Linked DNA regions of Danio rerio. The protein of the gene in region 1 purifies or fractionates together with the protein of each later gene. This does not show direct contact. Links are inferred from orthologs where the notes say so. Each region holds a gene or a part of one and is shown in the gene's direction. Other genes may lie near its edges.

Region 1 (5,936 bases):
TACAAACGTACTTCTGTTGCGTGCACTGTAATCCACACATGAGTCCAGCTGCGCTCTCATAGCGGGGAAATAAAAACAAAACCTTCATTGCAGCACATTAATAAACACAACACTGATGACCTGTTTCTCCAAACGATTCTTCTTCTTCCACTTGATTTGGCAACACATCGTGGCATTTCTCTGAACACTGTAACAGGTAAAAACAGTCTTAGAAGCTATCTTGCATATTAATGAAGTTGCACCGCATACACAATAGAGCGCACTGATTGGTTTGAACCAAGTCTTTCTCATGAATTAATGCTGCATACTCAAACGCGTCACATTGTACTCACCTGTACAAACATCCACTCTACATGCTGGAATTCACACAAGGATCTTATTGCCGTGAGGCAGCTTCAAAAATTTGTTTCAAAACAGAAGAACAAATTTGCTCGAAATAACGCAAAAAACAACCAAAAATTAAAAACTGCTTTTATTCTAGCTGAAACAAAACAAATAAGACTTTCTCAAGAAGAAAAAAAATATTAGTGCAAATACTGTGAGAAATTCATCACTCTGTTATACATAATTTGGGAAATATTTGAGTAAGATAAAAAAAAAAATTCACAGCAGGATGAATAATTTTGACTTATATTTGTTTGTTGCTTTTTTTTTTGGTTTACTATTGTTAAGATATTTGTACCAGGGGAAAAAACTACAACAGGAACTGGTTGTCCTTTTTATTTGTTCTTAAGAAATTAGGGTGTCAACAAGATGTCCAGAAACATTTAAAAAAGATGTGTGAAAGTTTCCTTGTTGACTTTCATGGAATCTCAATAAAGAGACACATTGTTCAATACACACTTAATCCTCTAGATAAGTGTCTGAGACAAGCAACAGCTTGCCGTCAATGTGATACACAGAGAGTTTGTTTGAAATTATTTGTCAGGGTGTTGAAATGATCCCAGAATTCCTATTAAAGCAGCAAGCCGTGAGATGCTGTCACTTCCAGTGAGTTTTACTAGGGTTAAATGGATAGTGCACCCCAAAATGAAAAATGTACTCACTGTTTACTCTCCCTCATGTGGTTTCATCATTTTATGAGTTTCTTTTTAATGTAAAAATCCAGTAACCATTGACTTCCGTTGTAGCAAATACTATGGAAATCAATGGTCACAGGTTTTCAACATTTTTCAAAACATCTTCTTTTGCGTTCAAGTTAAGGGTGAGTAAATGATGACAGGATTTTTCATTTTGAGGGACTTTCTTTTTAAGGATGTGATTTACTGGCCAAAAAATAACTGCAATGCTTATTTATTTTTTGCTGCTTATTACTTCATAAAATTGAGACACCAGGAATATAAAAATAAGTAATATAATTGCATAACTATAGTTTAAATATAATGTAATATGATTATATCATCTAATTTTCTGCTTCTAATAGAGGTATTTTTTTTCTTTTTTTTTATTTAGAAAAAGCTGAAAATGGACTCAGATGAGGATGAAGACAGCGATGATGATGACGACGACGACGACGATGATGATGATGATGAAGAAGAGTAAGAGCTCAAGTTTGTTCAGTTATAAAGTGTTTCATTGAAAGTTTTTACACGCAGTGAACTACTTCAATAAGGTTCATTTATACTTAAGTATATGACAAAATATATATAATCATAAAAACAGTTTACATGCATACAATTAAATTATACAGTTGAAGTCAGAATTATTAGCCTCCCTAAATTATTAGCCCTCGTTTATTTTTTCTCCTCAATTTCTGTTTAACGGAGAGAAGATTTTGTCAACATATTTCTAAGCATAATAGTTTTAATAACTCATTTATAATAACTGATTTATTTGATTTTTGCCATGATGGCAGTAAATAATATTTGACTAGATATTTTTTAAGACACTTCAATACAGCTTAAAGTGTTTAACTACGATTAACTAGGTTAATTATGTTAGTTAGGCAGGATAGGGTAATTAGGCAAGTTATTGTATAACAATGGTTTGTTCTGTTGACTATCGGAAAAAAAAAATAGCTTAAAGGGGCTAATAATTGTGTCCCCAAAAATGGTATTTAAAAAATTAAAAACTGCTTTTATTCTAGCTGAAATAAAACAAATAAGAATTTTTCTAGAAGAAAAAATATTATCAGACATACTGTGAAAATTTTCTTGCTATGTTACATCATTTGGGAAATATAAAAAATAAATTTAAAATTAAAAGGGGGTTTATATTTCTGACTTTAACTGTATATTCAAAAAATCATTTTAGAAATGTCAACAATGTATATTACAAATTAAAAATGTATAACAGTGTACAAAAAGTTGTAAATGTTTAAAATTTGTTTTACATTACTACGCAAATCAAATGGGCAAATCGTCTTTCATGTGTGAATCAACTTAGATTTGTGTGTGTGTTTATTCCTTTCTAAATTAAGTCTGATTACATAAATGGTTTGCCAAGTGGAGTACCTCAATTACATTGCTCTCTTTGAGGTATGATTGGTTGAACAATGACGTCTCATCTGATTTGCTAAAAAGTGATCTGTGTGAGAGTTGTGTGCTGCCTGGAAAGTCTCAAAAATATAAACAATCACAAATCCAGGGCGAATGTGAAATACAATTTGCACATTCACGTGAAAGGTAATTTATGAATACGAATTTATTTATTTATAATTTATGAGTAATATATATATATATATATATATATATATATATATATATATATATATATATATATATATATATATATATATATATATATATATTTATATTTATATTAGTGACTGTGGCTAGTAGTTTTTCAACATTACTAGCCACTCGCCATTTTCACGACCTACAATTTTGTTGTAAGGAGAATACATTTTATATGCATATATTTGATTTTGGCATGCTAAACTTTTTAATTTAGAAGTTGTGCTATGTCTACATGACTCCTTATTTATTTCACGTTTTGTGTGTTGTGTATGACCTCGTACAATGAGCATGAGCAAATAGATTTTAGTGCTGCATTGCAAATAGTTCTTGTTTCACAAGACTTAACAGGGATCAACACTACAGATTTACCTTATTATTATCTGGCTACACCAAAAAAAACAAAACTCAAAAAAAAAAAAATTCTTATCCACAAATTTAAAATAATTAGAAATTTTCAAAACAAGCCAAATATAGCTGTAAACAAACACTTTTTATTCAACAAAACTTTTCTTTAAAAAAATACAATTGACATTTTAAAAATATTTATTGTCATGTATCTAGAAGTATGAACAGTAGTCTGTACTGGCTAAAGGTCCCAGAACACCAGTTAACTACAAATAAATGGGAAGTTAATCTACTAATAAAGCAATGGTATTGTAAAGGATGATTAATATACCATAATTAATAAAACAATAACTGTAAAAGAAAGCAGGTGAAAAACATGCCATAATGAAAGGATGATCACCTGCACACGGTTAATGTTAGGCCCATTAATTAATTAATTCATTTTCTTGTTGGCTTAGTCCCTTTATTAATCCGTGGTCGTGACAGCGGAATGAACCGCCAACTTATCCAGCATGTTTTTACGCAGAGGATGCCCTTCCAGCCGCAACCCATCTCTGGAAAAAGCCCATTAATAATCTTTTCAAAGAATGGTTAAAGTGAAAGCGGCAACTGCTGCTGCTTGCACAATGACACTTTTTTTTTTTTTAAAGAATCTCAAACTCTAGCATCGTTTTTTGCATACATACACACACATGCACACACACACACACACACACATATATATATGTATATATATATATATATATATATATATATATATATATATATATATATATATATATATATATATATATATATATATATACACAGTTGTCAACATTTGAAGCTACCAACAACACCCATTCTTGTCTTGGGACAATTTTTTAAAATCTTTATTTTATCCACTTCAAATGTTAAGATCCACTTCAAATGTTCAGATGTTGAAATTAATTTTATCTATCTTTAGGGATGATGACAAACAAGAAAAGCCTGCTGTAAAGAGCCCTGTCAAATCCACTCAAAAAGTAAGTTTTCCTGCTTTTTTTGTTTAGAATATTTGGAAAAAGAAGTTTGGTACTTATGCTATATATATAAAGAACAGGATTATATTAAATAAAAATATATATTTTAACTTTTAAAATAATAGTGATTAACAGTAATGATATTTCACAATATTGGAATTACTGTATTAATTTTTTTTCTACATTTTTAGAGTTTTCCAAGACAGCAATTGTGTGATATTGTAAAACATAACAGTTTATTAATATTACTGTGTATTATTAGTTAGTAATAGTAATTACTGTTAAAAACTGTTAATAAACTAAATTATATTTTCCTAATATATTCTAAGATGCAAAACATTTGTGATGCAAAGCTGAGTTTTTCAGGATAACTCCAGGTTTTTTTATTTTCTGTTTTTATTTGATAAAAATCTTCTTTTCTCCATACTTTGAAACATGTTCACATTGCATGTTACATTTCGCCATGTTCCCACTGTGTTCCGAAGTGAACACCAGAGTGACCAGCAGGTGCCAGTCTCTTCCTGAGAGAGACTCAGAATCTTTCAGCACCTGTATTCACCCCATCAGCTTCGAGAGCACTTTATATTCTTTCCTTCACATTTTAATAACTAAAGTGTCTTTTGGTGCCATCTTTATCATCTTGTTCATATCCATTTCTCATGTCTGTTCATACTTGCTTTCTCTCTCTATGTGGAATGTAATGTAATGATCATTTTGCTCTAAACAATGCAAAAATAAGCAATTTTTACTCTAGTTTAATATATGTGTAATAATGTTTTTAGCAACGTGTCACACATAGTTGAAGTCAGAATTATTAGCCCCCCTGTATATTTTTTTCTCCCAATTTCTGTTTAACGGAGAGTTTTTTTTTTTAACACATTTCTAAACAAAATAGTTTTAGTAACTCATTTCTAATAACTGATTTATTTTATCTCTGCCATGATGACAGTACATAATAATTTACTAGATATTTTTCAAGATAGTATTCAGCTTAAAGTGACATTTAAAGACTTTACTAGGTTAATTAGGCAAGTTAGGGTAATTAGGCAAATCATTGTATAATGATGGTTTGTTCTGTACATGATAAAAATAGCTTAAAAGGGCTAATAATATTGACCTTAAAATAGCACTTTTAATAAAGCTGCTTTTACTTTATCCAAAATAAAACAATTTGGTCTTTCTCCAGAAGAAATAATATTATAGGAAATACTTGCTCTGTTAAACATCATTTGGGAAACATTTAATAAGAAAAAAAACTTCACAGGAGGTCGAATCATTTTGACTTCAACTGTATATGTAAGCTGCTGATGTGGCATTATCAGGCAAACAAATCACTTAAAGAGCCCCTATTATACATTAAAAATGGTCATATTTTGGTTTAAGTGTCTCCAACAACAGGCTGATATGCATGCTAGGTCAAAAACATTTTCATTGTCTTATATGCATTTATTTTTACCTAATTATCCCAGTGACTCCCATATTTTTTGTTCAGCGATTCATTTGTTCCCGAATCCCTGCTCAGCGTGAAACTAATCTGCGCTGATTGGGCTGACGTCAGCCTGTTGCGACTGGTCGACTGCGTTTTGCGTGAGACAGAGTGAAATGGTCAGCACGGCTTAATAACAATATTGAAGTAGTCAGAGTGCAGAGTGCATGTGTGGACATACCTGCCAACACTCCTGTTTTTCCTGGGATCTCCTGTATTTCAGGCCCATCTTAAGACACCAGCCCCTTTTTGTTAATTATCCCGGATAAATGCTGGTCCTCAGCATTTTGATACGGTCTGTGAAACCCCCGAGTCCCCAACATTGGTATAGCATGGTTTCCGCCTACATTCATTCATACCACCACAGCTACATTACAGCTTCTCATTCAAAACATTCAGTCATTGTTGTTGTTGTTGTTTTAATAG
Region 2 (4,773 bases), on another chromosome or scaffold:
ATTGAGAAGTCTTTTAAAGGAAATTAACACCTTTAATTCACAAAGATGCATTTAAATCATCAGAAGATACATTTGAATTCAGCATGAAATGGAAGTTAAGATCTTGCTAACATCTTGACACACAACTGGGGATGCAACGATTAACAAGTTTCACTAATAACCACGCTTTCATTCATCACAGCACAGAACAAAACTGCTGGCAACTAAACAAAGTTATGTCAACTGTGCAGTAGTTTAAATTTCTAAGCATGTACACCGAGGCTAATACCCATTCACACTTTATTAACTAAGGCTAATTATTTTTTTTTTTAGATGCAGTCCTTGAGGGCTGGTGTCCTGGAGAGTTTAGCTCCAACCCTAATTTAACACACCTGAATCAGCTAATCAAGCTCCTATTAGATATACTAGAAACTTCCGGGCAGGTGTGTTAAAGCAAGTTGTAGCTAAATTCTCCAGGACACCGGCCCTCCAGGACCGAGTTTGGGCACCCCTGCATCAGACAAATACTATTTATTTATTCTTACTTTTAATTATTTTTACTGCATTTCCAAACATTTAAATGCACTCATTCTGAGCGAAAAAGACTTTGAAAACATTTTAAAGTATAAATATAACGTTATACAGGGTGGCCCATTTATATGGATACACCTAAAAAAATGGGAGTGGTTGGTGATATTATTGTCCTGTTTGTGGCACATTAGTATATGTGAGGGGGCAAACTTTTCAAGATAGGTGGTGACCATGGTGGCCATTTTGAAGTCGGGCATCTTGGATCCAACCTTTGTTTTTTTTTTCAAAAGTAAGACAGTCATTTGACACTTTCTCCTGCGGTGTTGCAATCAGTGTGTGAAGAGTTTTAGAAGAGGGTTGCATTGACAATCTAACACAATGGGCAGCACATTGAACACATTTAATAAGTGGTCAGAAACTTTGAAATAACACATGAAAGAATAAATTTACGTTAAAACTAATCACACCATTGTTTTTCTTGTGAAATTCCCAATAGGTTTGATGTGTCAAATGACCCTCTTCCTATTGAAAAAACAAAAGTTGGATCCAAGATGGCCGACTTCAAAAGGGCACCATGGTCACCACCCATTCTGAAAAGTTTGCCCCCTCCTATATACTAATGTGCCACAAACCGGACGTTAATATCACCAACCATTCCCATTTTATTAAGGTGTATCCATATAAATGGCCCACCCTGTAGACATAGTTCCAAAAACATTCGCAATGTTAAAGAATAGCATAGTTCACGCACTCCAAAAAATGTTTAAACTACTTATTTAGAATGAGCTAAAACAACACAATTCCTGAGATTATTTTTGGGACGACTCAATTGTTTTAAATCAATTAACTTGATTTGTGAACTTGATTTGAAAAAATTATTTGTGTTGGGACAACATAAATTAATCGTGTGGAGCCCTGCACTTTTTACAGTGCACCACAACTTTAACGATAAAGATACAGAGGATCGATATCATTGGGATCACTTTCAGAATTATTTTTCCTCGCTAATGAATGATAAAATCCCGACAGCCAGTCAGAATCCATTGAAAATGAACACAATTCACAATTATTTATTTATTTATTTTTCTAAATTAGTTTTTATTGATTTTATAGGAACATATAACCAGTGGGAACAAAACAAGCAAATAAAAAATAAATAAATAAAAAATACACATATAAATAAATATACATATGTATACATACTTTTATAGGCAAACACATCCATTCCACACATGTATATCCATATACACACATGCATAAAAATATTAAATTAACCTCATTAAAATAAATAAGTATAAAATAAATTATAATAAAAGGTTGCCAAACATATTTTCACAATGATACATAACCTCTAGAATTACGTAAATATTCAGTTATAAATAATTATTTTGTCGTTGAGGAGAAAGCCAGCCATTTACTCCATTTCTTTCCAAAGGTTTCTAATTGTGATCGAAGTGCATGTGTCATTTTTTCCATTTCCTTTATTTCTGCTATAATTTTGAACCATTCATCTTTAGTTGGTGGCTCTTCTTTATAACATTTCTGGGTTATAGCTTTTTTACTTGTTGCCAAAAATATCTTAAATAGATATTTATTTTCCTTTTTAAGATTATCAGGAGTATCTCCTAGATAAAGTACTTCAAATGATCTAGGAATATAAGGAAACAAAAATATAATTGATGGTGTAGTGCACAATTCTTGAGCATTGACGATTCATAATTGTAATGATTTTACTGCATGTCCAAGCAATTAAATGCACTCTTGCTGACTTCTTTCATAAACTTTGAATACATTTGATTTCAAAAAGCAGTGTATTGAACAATAGCATCCCTCTCTTCCATTAAGTATCTGCACAGGTTCCAGTGGTGTCATCTCAGCGAGCGTTTGGCCTACGAACAGACAGTTTATCACCAGCGCATGAGGACCGAAATCTCTCAGGCTAAGAAGGAGACCAACTTCTACCTGGCCAGCGTGGAAAAGAGCCAGAGCCTGGAGAAACTCCGGAAGAAGAGGGCGAAGAAGGGAGAGGTCGTGGAGGAGAAAACGTGGGACTACAAACAGCGTCCTACAGAGGAGGAGATCCACCTGAAACGCTTTAAGAGCAAAGGCATTTCCAAGAAGAGCCTCCAGAAGGCGCAAGAGAAGAGCAAAAGCATCCAGGACAAAGCACAATCCAACGTATCCCTCCTGGCCAAGATCTTCAGCAGTAGCAAAGCCCGGGATTGATGCGCTGAGAACGTTCAGGTGCTTTCAGCTTTCGTTGACACCACAGAGTATAATCAAGGAGTTTTCTTGTGTATTTGAGATGCATTTTTCAGATTATTTGGCAACGTACAGATTCTAAACTCATGTTTTGCAGCATTTTTGACAGAATAGATGTAACTCACATGCAGAGTGTTCTGATTTATATATCTCAGCAGTAAAAACGCTGCACTATCATTCTGAAAAAGTCTTTATTTTCCCTTGAAAAGAAACTGAATGTCAAATTTTGTTGAAAAACAAGGCTAAAAATCTGTCATTATTAAAAAAAACGACTAATATCCCAATTGTGAATTAGGTGGGTTTTCATCAAGTTGTTAACGCTCATTCATACCAAGCACGTCACGATAACTATTAATATAATGAAAAAGATAGTTGTAAAAGTCAATCACAGTGTTAAAGAAGAGCATAGTTCACAACACTTTGACAGAACAGACATAACCCACAGTAGATTGTTCTGATTTTATATCTTTAACAGTTAATTCAATTCAGCTTTATTTGTATAGCGCTTTTACAATGTAGATTGTGTCAAAGCAGCTTCACATAAATGGTCATAGTAACCGGAATAGTTTAGCTCAGTTCAGTGCGAGTTAAAACAGTGGACTATCATTCTGGAAAAGTCTTTATTTTCTCAATGATGTCTTCTGAAACAATATTGGATTGCTGGTTCATGAATTTATACACTGATTCTGTGTCATGCCAAAGTAATTTTGTTGAAAAACAAGGCTAAAAATCTGTCATTATTAAAAAAAACGACTAATATCCCAATTGTGAATTAGGTGGCTTTTCATCAATTTAAGGCCCTTTCACACCAAGCACGATAATTATGAATATAATGATAAAGTTCTGAAAGTCATTCACAGTATTTAAGGATAGCATAGTTCAGACCACAACAACTACAACGATAAAGATACAGAAGGACCATATCGTGGGATCACTTTTGGAACAATTTTTTCAACAACCAGTCAGAATAAATTGAAAATTAAATTCTTGCTTAATTTAAACACACAGGAAACACTAGCTATGGTTACATCCCCCTATTTTATGCACATTATGAATATGCACATAAAAAAAGGTTGATGGAAACGCCAAGATGCTCATAAAATCTAAAAATACACATTACCGAGTAGGATGTGCACATAACAGAGTAAGATATGCACATAACCGAGTAGAATAAACTTTTTTGTTTGATAAGAAAAAATGTGTTTAAACTGTAATGGAAGTTCTAGCTATGTTTCTTTCTTAATATGCTAATTAAATTTATGCGCTAACTGGAATCTCGTATATAAGACATGAATAAAGCAGCGTTTCCATCCAAGTAGTCAAAGAGAGCAAAATCATCACTTCCTGATTAACTGGGGCCAAATATCAAAAGTAAAATTGGAATTTCCTGCGGTAGGAAAAGCTGCGTGAATGTTTTTCTTTATTTAATAAATGAATTTAATAAAATACTAAGCTGACACGCAATGAACGCGTGGTGGCGTTTAAAGGCGTCAGAGCATAGTCGTGGTCTGCTCTGTGTCTCAAGTCTGCCAACGTGCGTCGAGCTAGCAGATAAACGTAACAGCGGGAAAGCCATCCATACGGAGGTAAGCTGTCAGCTGGTAGCGCGAAAAGGAACTGCGACATACCGCCCCAAAGTGTTTGTATTAATGTATGGACACAGCTGATTGGTCACATGCGAGTTATTTTCGCTACATCAGAGTTTATTTGGCAACTGCATTTTTGTCTCCTATTATTCAAATTAAAACTTTCACAAAAGATCAAAACCAAACTCGAGTGAGTGTAAAAACTTTTTCAAAATGAAATAAAGGGATTTGTATTCTAAATTGGACATTTTTTCCATTATTCTTTTTTTATGCGCTACTTTAAGCGTCACTCGGCTATTATGTGTTTAACTTCCTGAAATGTGGGATGTTTTTCAGTACATTTTGTCTAAAATTGAATTGATTTGATTCAATAATTTGATTCAACAATTTGCAGTAAATGCTTTAAACCATTGAG
Region 3 (4,434 bases), on another chromosome or scaffold:
TGACTCTGCTCTTACCTTAATAATAATGACGATAGTGTATGACTTAATATCACACCCATACTCTATGCTGCATTAGTCACAGTGTAAAGCCCTGTGAAGAACTCCAATTGATGATGATTCTTGCTCAATGAATGCTCTTCAGTGTTTGGACTCTCAGTATTGAATATTAAACCACACTGAACTGAACTTCAACTCTGAAAACTGCACTGGCACTGTTTCAATTTACTAGAACGTCAATGTTAAGCTGCTTTAACACAATCTACATTGTAAAATCCCTATAAAAATAGAGGAAAATAATTGTCTGGTAAAAATGTCTGTTTAATTTCTACGTCAGAAAGGAAAAGTCATCCTGTCAGTGTTGTTCTCCAGTATCATGCAGCCATACTGGGATTTTGTTGCAGTTTAACTCCATAAACACAACTCTAACCTTAAACTAATGATAATATAAGACTTTAAATATTGCACCCATACTCAATGTAACAGTGTAAATGTGACCTGTTAAAGACTCATATTGCAGTAAATGTTTCTTTCTCTAACTCGAATCTCGTGTATAATTGTTCCTACATGAAGGCTTTCCATATCACAACTGCCTGTATATTTTGCTTATCAGTAAGGTAAAGTCTCCTTCAGTGAGTTTCCCCAGTATCATTCAGCCATGCTGGGGTTTTGTTGCAGTTTTGCGGTGTTGAATAATTGATTGTGCTCTGGTGTGTCTCTCTCAGGTCCTCTGGCTATCAACCGCGTCCCTCTGCGTAGAGCTCACCAGAAGTTCTGCATCGCCACAAACACCAAAGTGGACATCTCTGGCATGAAGATCCCCAGAACACTGACCGACTCTTACTTCAAGAAGAAGAAGCTGAGGAAACCCAAGCACCAGGAGGGAGAGATCTTCGACACCGAGAAGGAGGTCAGATAGCTCATTTATTTACTTCTTTTATGGGTCACCATTTATTTTAATGTACAATTCTCACTAGTGCAGCGCGAAAATGTTAGTTATTACCATAATTTCATTACTTACTAATAACTTAAAACTGATCAACTAGTAACTAATGGCTTTAAACAATTATTATAAGCAAACATAGTTGATAACCTCCAGATATCTGCCATATATATATTATTTTATTATATAGCCATTCAATTCATCTGGTGACATTATTCATAATCACAAAAAAAAAAAAATATATATATATATATATATATATATTTATATATATATATATTTATATATATATATATATATATATATATATATATATATATATATATATATATATATATATATATATATATATATTTATATATATATATATATATATTTATATATATATATATATATATTTATATATATATATATATATATATATATATATATATATTTATATATATATATTTTGTTGTGATTATGAATAATGTCACCAGATGAATTGAATGGCTCTATTAGTAAGGCTTCTTTAATTTATATAGATTGGGATAAATTATTGTTCTATACAGTGCTTTGCATGAAATGTATTAAATTACGAATGTTTTATGTAGCGGATGCCCTTCCAGCTGCAACCCAGCACTGGGAAACACCCAATACACAGTTGGCGACCCCCCCCCCCCCTGATAAATAAAGGGACCAAGCTAAAGGAAAATGAATAAATATTAAATTACAAGCATATATAAATTCAACAGAGCAAAGATGTTAAATATGGTTTTCTGGAGTCTAATACAGTGTTTCTCAACCATGTTTCTGGAGGATCACCAGCACTGCACGTTTTCCCATGTCTCCGTAACCAAGCACCCCTGATTTAGATCATTAGCTTATTAGTAGAGACTGAAAGACTAATGAGTGTGACAAAGGAGACATCCAAAACATGCAGTGCTGGTGATCCTCCGGGAACATGGTTGAGAAACACTGGTCTAATAGTATTCAGGTACAGAACTTGAACAATCAAGCATAAAATAACATGGTCATTATTGTAGAAATTGTTTTAAAATACTAATGTTATTTCTTTATATTTTAATATTTAATAAATTACCATAACTATCACTTATTATAGATGCTTAAACGATTTATTGTGCAGCACCAATTCTCACTATTGACAAACCAATGATTAAGACTTTCAGCTCAAACTCCTTCTGTTGCTCCAAACTTCACACTGCTTATTAATAGTTAGGGTTATAGTTGGGTTTAGGTATCATGCAGAATCTGTGCAAATAAACAGCCATGAATATAGTCAGTTTATTCTGAGATTTAGTACTTAAACTAGTACTGTTGCTGAACTCTTTGAAAAAACACAATCGCATGACTTCTTCTTGCTCCGCATACTGTCATTTATTCATTAAATGATTTTTAGCACACCTAAATGCACCCAATCAGTTAAAAATAGTACTTGTAACTTAACGTATTTTTTAATGGCCATTTAATAGTGAGTGAACATCTACACTTTTTTTTGAGACTTTTCAAAAACCCATAGAAATGTTGATGGAAATATGGCTACTGGTTGTTTTTATTTTCCCCCCTAATGTTGTGTGTTTCTGTGGTTTGCAGAAGTACCAGTTGACGGAGCAGCGCAAGGCAGACCAGAAAGCAGTGGACTCTCAGCTGCTTCCTCTGATCAAGAAGGTTCCTCAGCTCAGGGGTTACCTGCGCTCCATGTTCTCCCTGTCTAATGGAGTCTACCCACACAAACTGGTTTTCTAAAATGCTAATAAAACGTCAACCCAGATCCGTTTCTGTGCTGCTTTGTTTCTTGTTGTCGTTTTCTCATGTTGAAGGCTGGAGGTGGAGAATTATTTCATGAATCTGTTTTTAGATCGCTAATCATTCATTTTGTTAATAAATATTCTAAAGCAGGGGTCTCAAACTCAATTCCTGGAGGGCCGCAGCTCAGTTTAGTTAAGTGTCTAGTAGTCTTGAACACCTTGATTAGCTACATCAGCTGAGTTTGATTAGGATTAAAGTAACTCTGCAGAGCTGCAGCCCTCCAGGAATCCAGTTTAAGACCCCTGTTCTGAAGTATGAAGTATTTAGCCTTTTTTTTTTTTTTTTTTTTTTTTTAAATAAAATGAGTGATTGTGTTTTCCAGCAATGGTTACAAAAACAAGTAGATTATTGAACCCCTTGGCTGTCTGTCTTGAGCATGAATGTGAAAATGATGTTCAAGCTTTGGTGGTTTTCAGAGCACAGGTTTAAGTTTGGTCTTTGATAGGTTGCATACATTCAAGATTATGAAGTGAATGTATATAAAATATGTATTAATCTAACATTTACCACACGTTTAAAGCTAATTATGAGCAAATTATCCACCATTTTAGGTTGAAACTACATCAAATACCATAGTAACATTTTGTAGTCTTTAATTTGACTGAACAGTTTAGGACGGGAGTCCAAACTCAGTCCTACATAATTTAGTGCAAGTCCAATTAAACACAGCTGAACCCGCCAATCAAGCTCTTTCTAGGTATACTAGAACCTTCCAGGCAGGTGTGTTGAAGCTAGTTGAGTTAAACTACGCAGGATAGCGACCCTCCAGGACGGAGTTTGTACATCCCTGGTTTAAGCTAAATCAATTCACTGCAGTGGTCTCGAGCTCAATTCTTTGAGGGCCACAGCTCTGTTTAGCTCCAACCCCTGTTCTAACGTATGAAGTTTTTAGCTTAATTGTTTTTCAGTGGGTTATAAAATGAGTCATTGTGTTTTCCACCATTGGTTACAAAAACAAGCAGGTTATTTAACCCCGTAACTGTCTTTTCTTAAACATGAATGTGAAAATGGCATTCAGCTTGAAGTTTTAATGGTTTTAAATGCTTTAGTGCACAGATTTAAGCTTGATCTCATACAATAGGTTGCATACATTCAAGTTTGTGAAGTGAATGTGTATATATTGTATATTATATAAAATATGCATTACCCTAAGATTACCCAGAAGTTTAAAGCTAATTATGAGCAAATCATCCACATTTTAAGTTGAAACTACAAATTCTAAAGTAGCATTTTGTGATCTTTTATTTGACAACAGTTGCAGAGCTAAATCAATCCACTGCAGTGGTCTCAAACTTCCTGCGTAACAGTGTTTAGTATTCTTGAACGCCTTGATTATTTGCATCAGCTGTGGTTGATTAGGGTTGAAGCAAAACTGCAGAGCTGCGGCCCTCCAGGAATCCAGTTTGAGACCAATGTTCTAAAGCAGGGGTGTCCAAACTTGATCCTGGAGGGCCGTGTCCTGCATATTTTATTTCCAATCCTCATTTAAACACTTGAACCAGCTAATCAAACTCTATGTTTACAGAAACTTTTTTGTTGAAGCAAGCTAGAGCTAAACTATACAGTACACCAGCCCTCCAGGAATCCAGTTTGATATTCATGTTCTAAAGTACGAAGTATTAAGCTTGATTTTTTTGAGTGGGTTATAAAATGAGTCACTGCGTTTTCCAGCAGTGGTTACAAAA

What was found. Proteins that work in one complex are often made in the same cells at the same time.
Region 2: the proteins of npm1b (region 1) and abt1 purify together in Homo sapiens (co-immunoprecipitation; 3 studies listed by BioGRID and IntAct, with this or other methods). This does not show direct contact. The link is inferred for Danio rerio from reciprocal best matches to the Homo sapiens genes NPM1 and ABT1.
Region 3: the proteins of npm1b (region 1) and rpl6 purify together in Homo sapiens (affinity purification with mass spectrometry; 4 studies listed by BioGRID and IntAct, with this or other methods). This does not show direct contact. The link is inferred for Danio rerio from reciprocal best matches to the Homo sapiens genes NPM1 and RPL6.

What each region holds. Positions count from the first base shown.
Region 1 is NC_133189.1:6,154,155-6,160,090, reverse strand, and holds part of npm1b (nucleophosmin 1b), read left to right. Parts: intron 1-1,452; coding exon 1,453-1,538; intron 1,539-3,969; coding exon 3,970-4,027; intron 4,028-5,936. UniProt on the Homo sapiens protein: Involved in diverse cellular processes such as ribosome biogenesis, centrosome duplication, protein chaperoning, histone assembly, cell proliferation, and regulation of tumor suppressors p53/TP53 and ARF.
Region 2 is NC_133183.1:10,036,810-10,041,582, reverse strand, and holds the end of abt1 (activator of basal transcription 1), read left to right. Parts: exon of another isoform or gene 1-250; intron 251-456; exon of another isoform or gene 457-577; intron 578-2,355; coding exon 2,356-2,736; 3' UTR 2,737-3,056; downstream 3,057-4,773.
Region 3 is NC_133183.1:3,721,904-3,726,337, reverse strand, and holds the end of rpl6 (large ribosomal subunit protein eL6), read left to right. Parts: intron 1-722; coding exon 723-907; intron 908-2,533; coding exon 2,534-2,686; 3' UTR 2,687-2,717; downstream 2,718-4,434.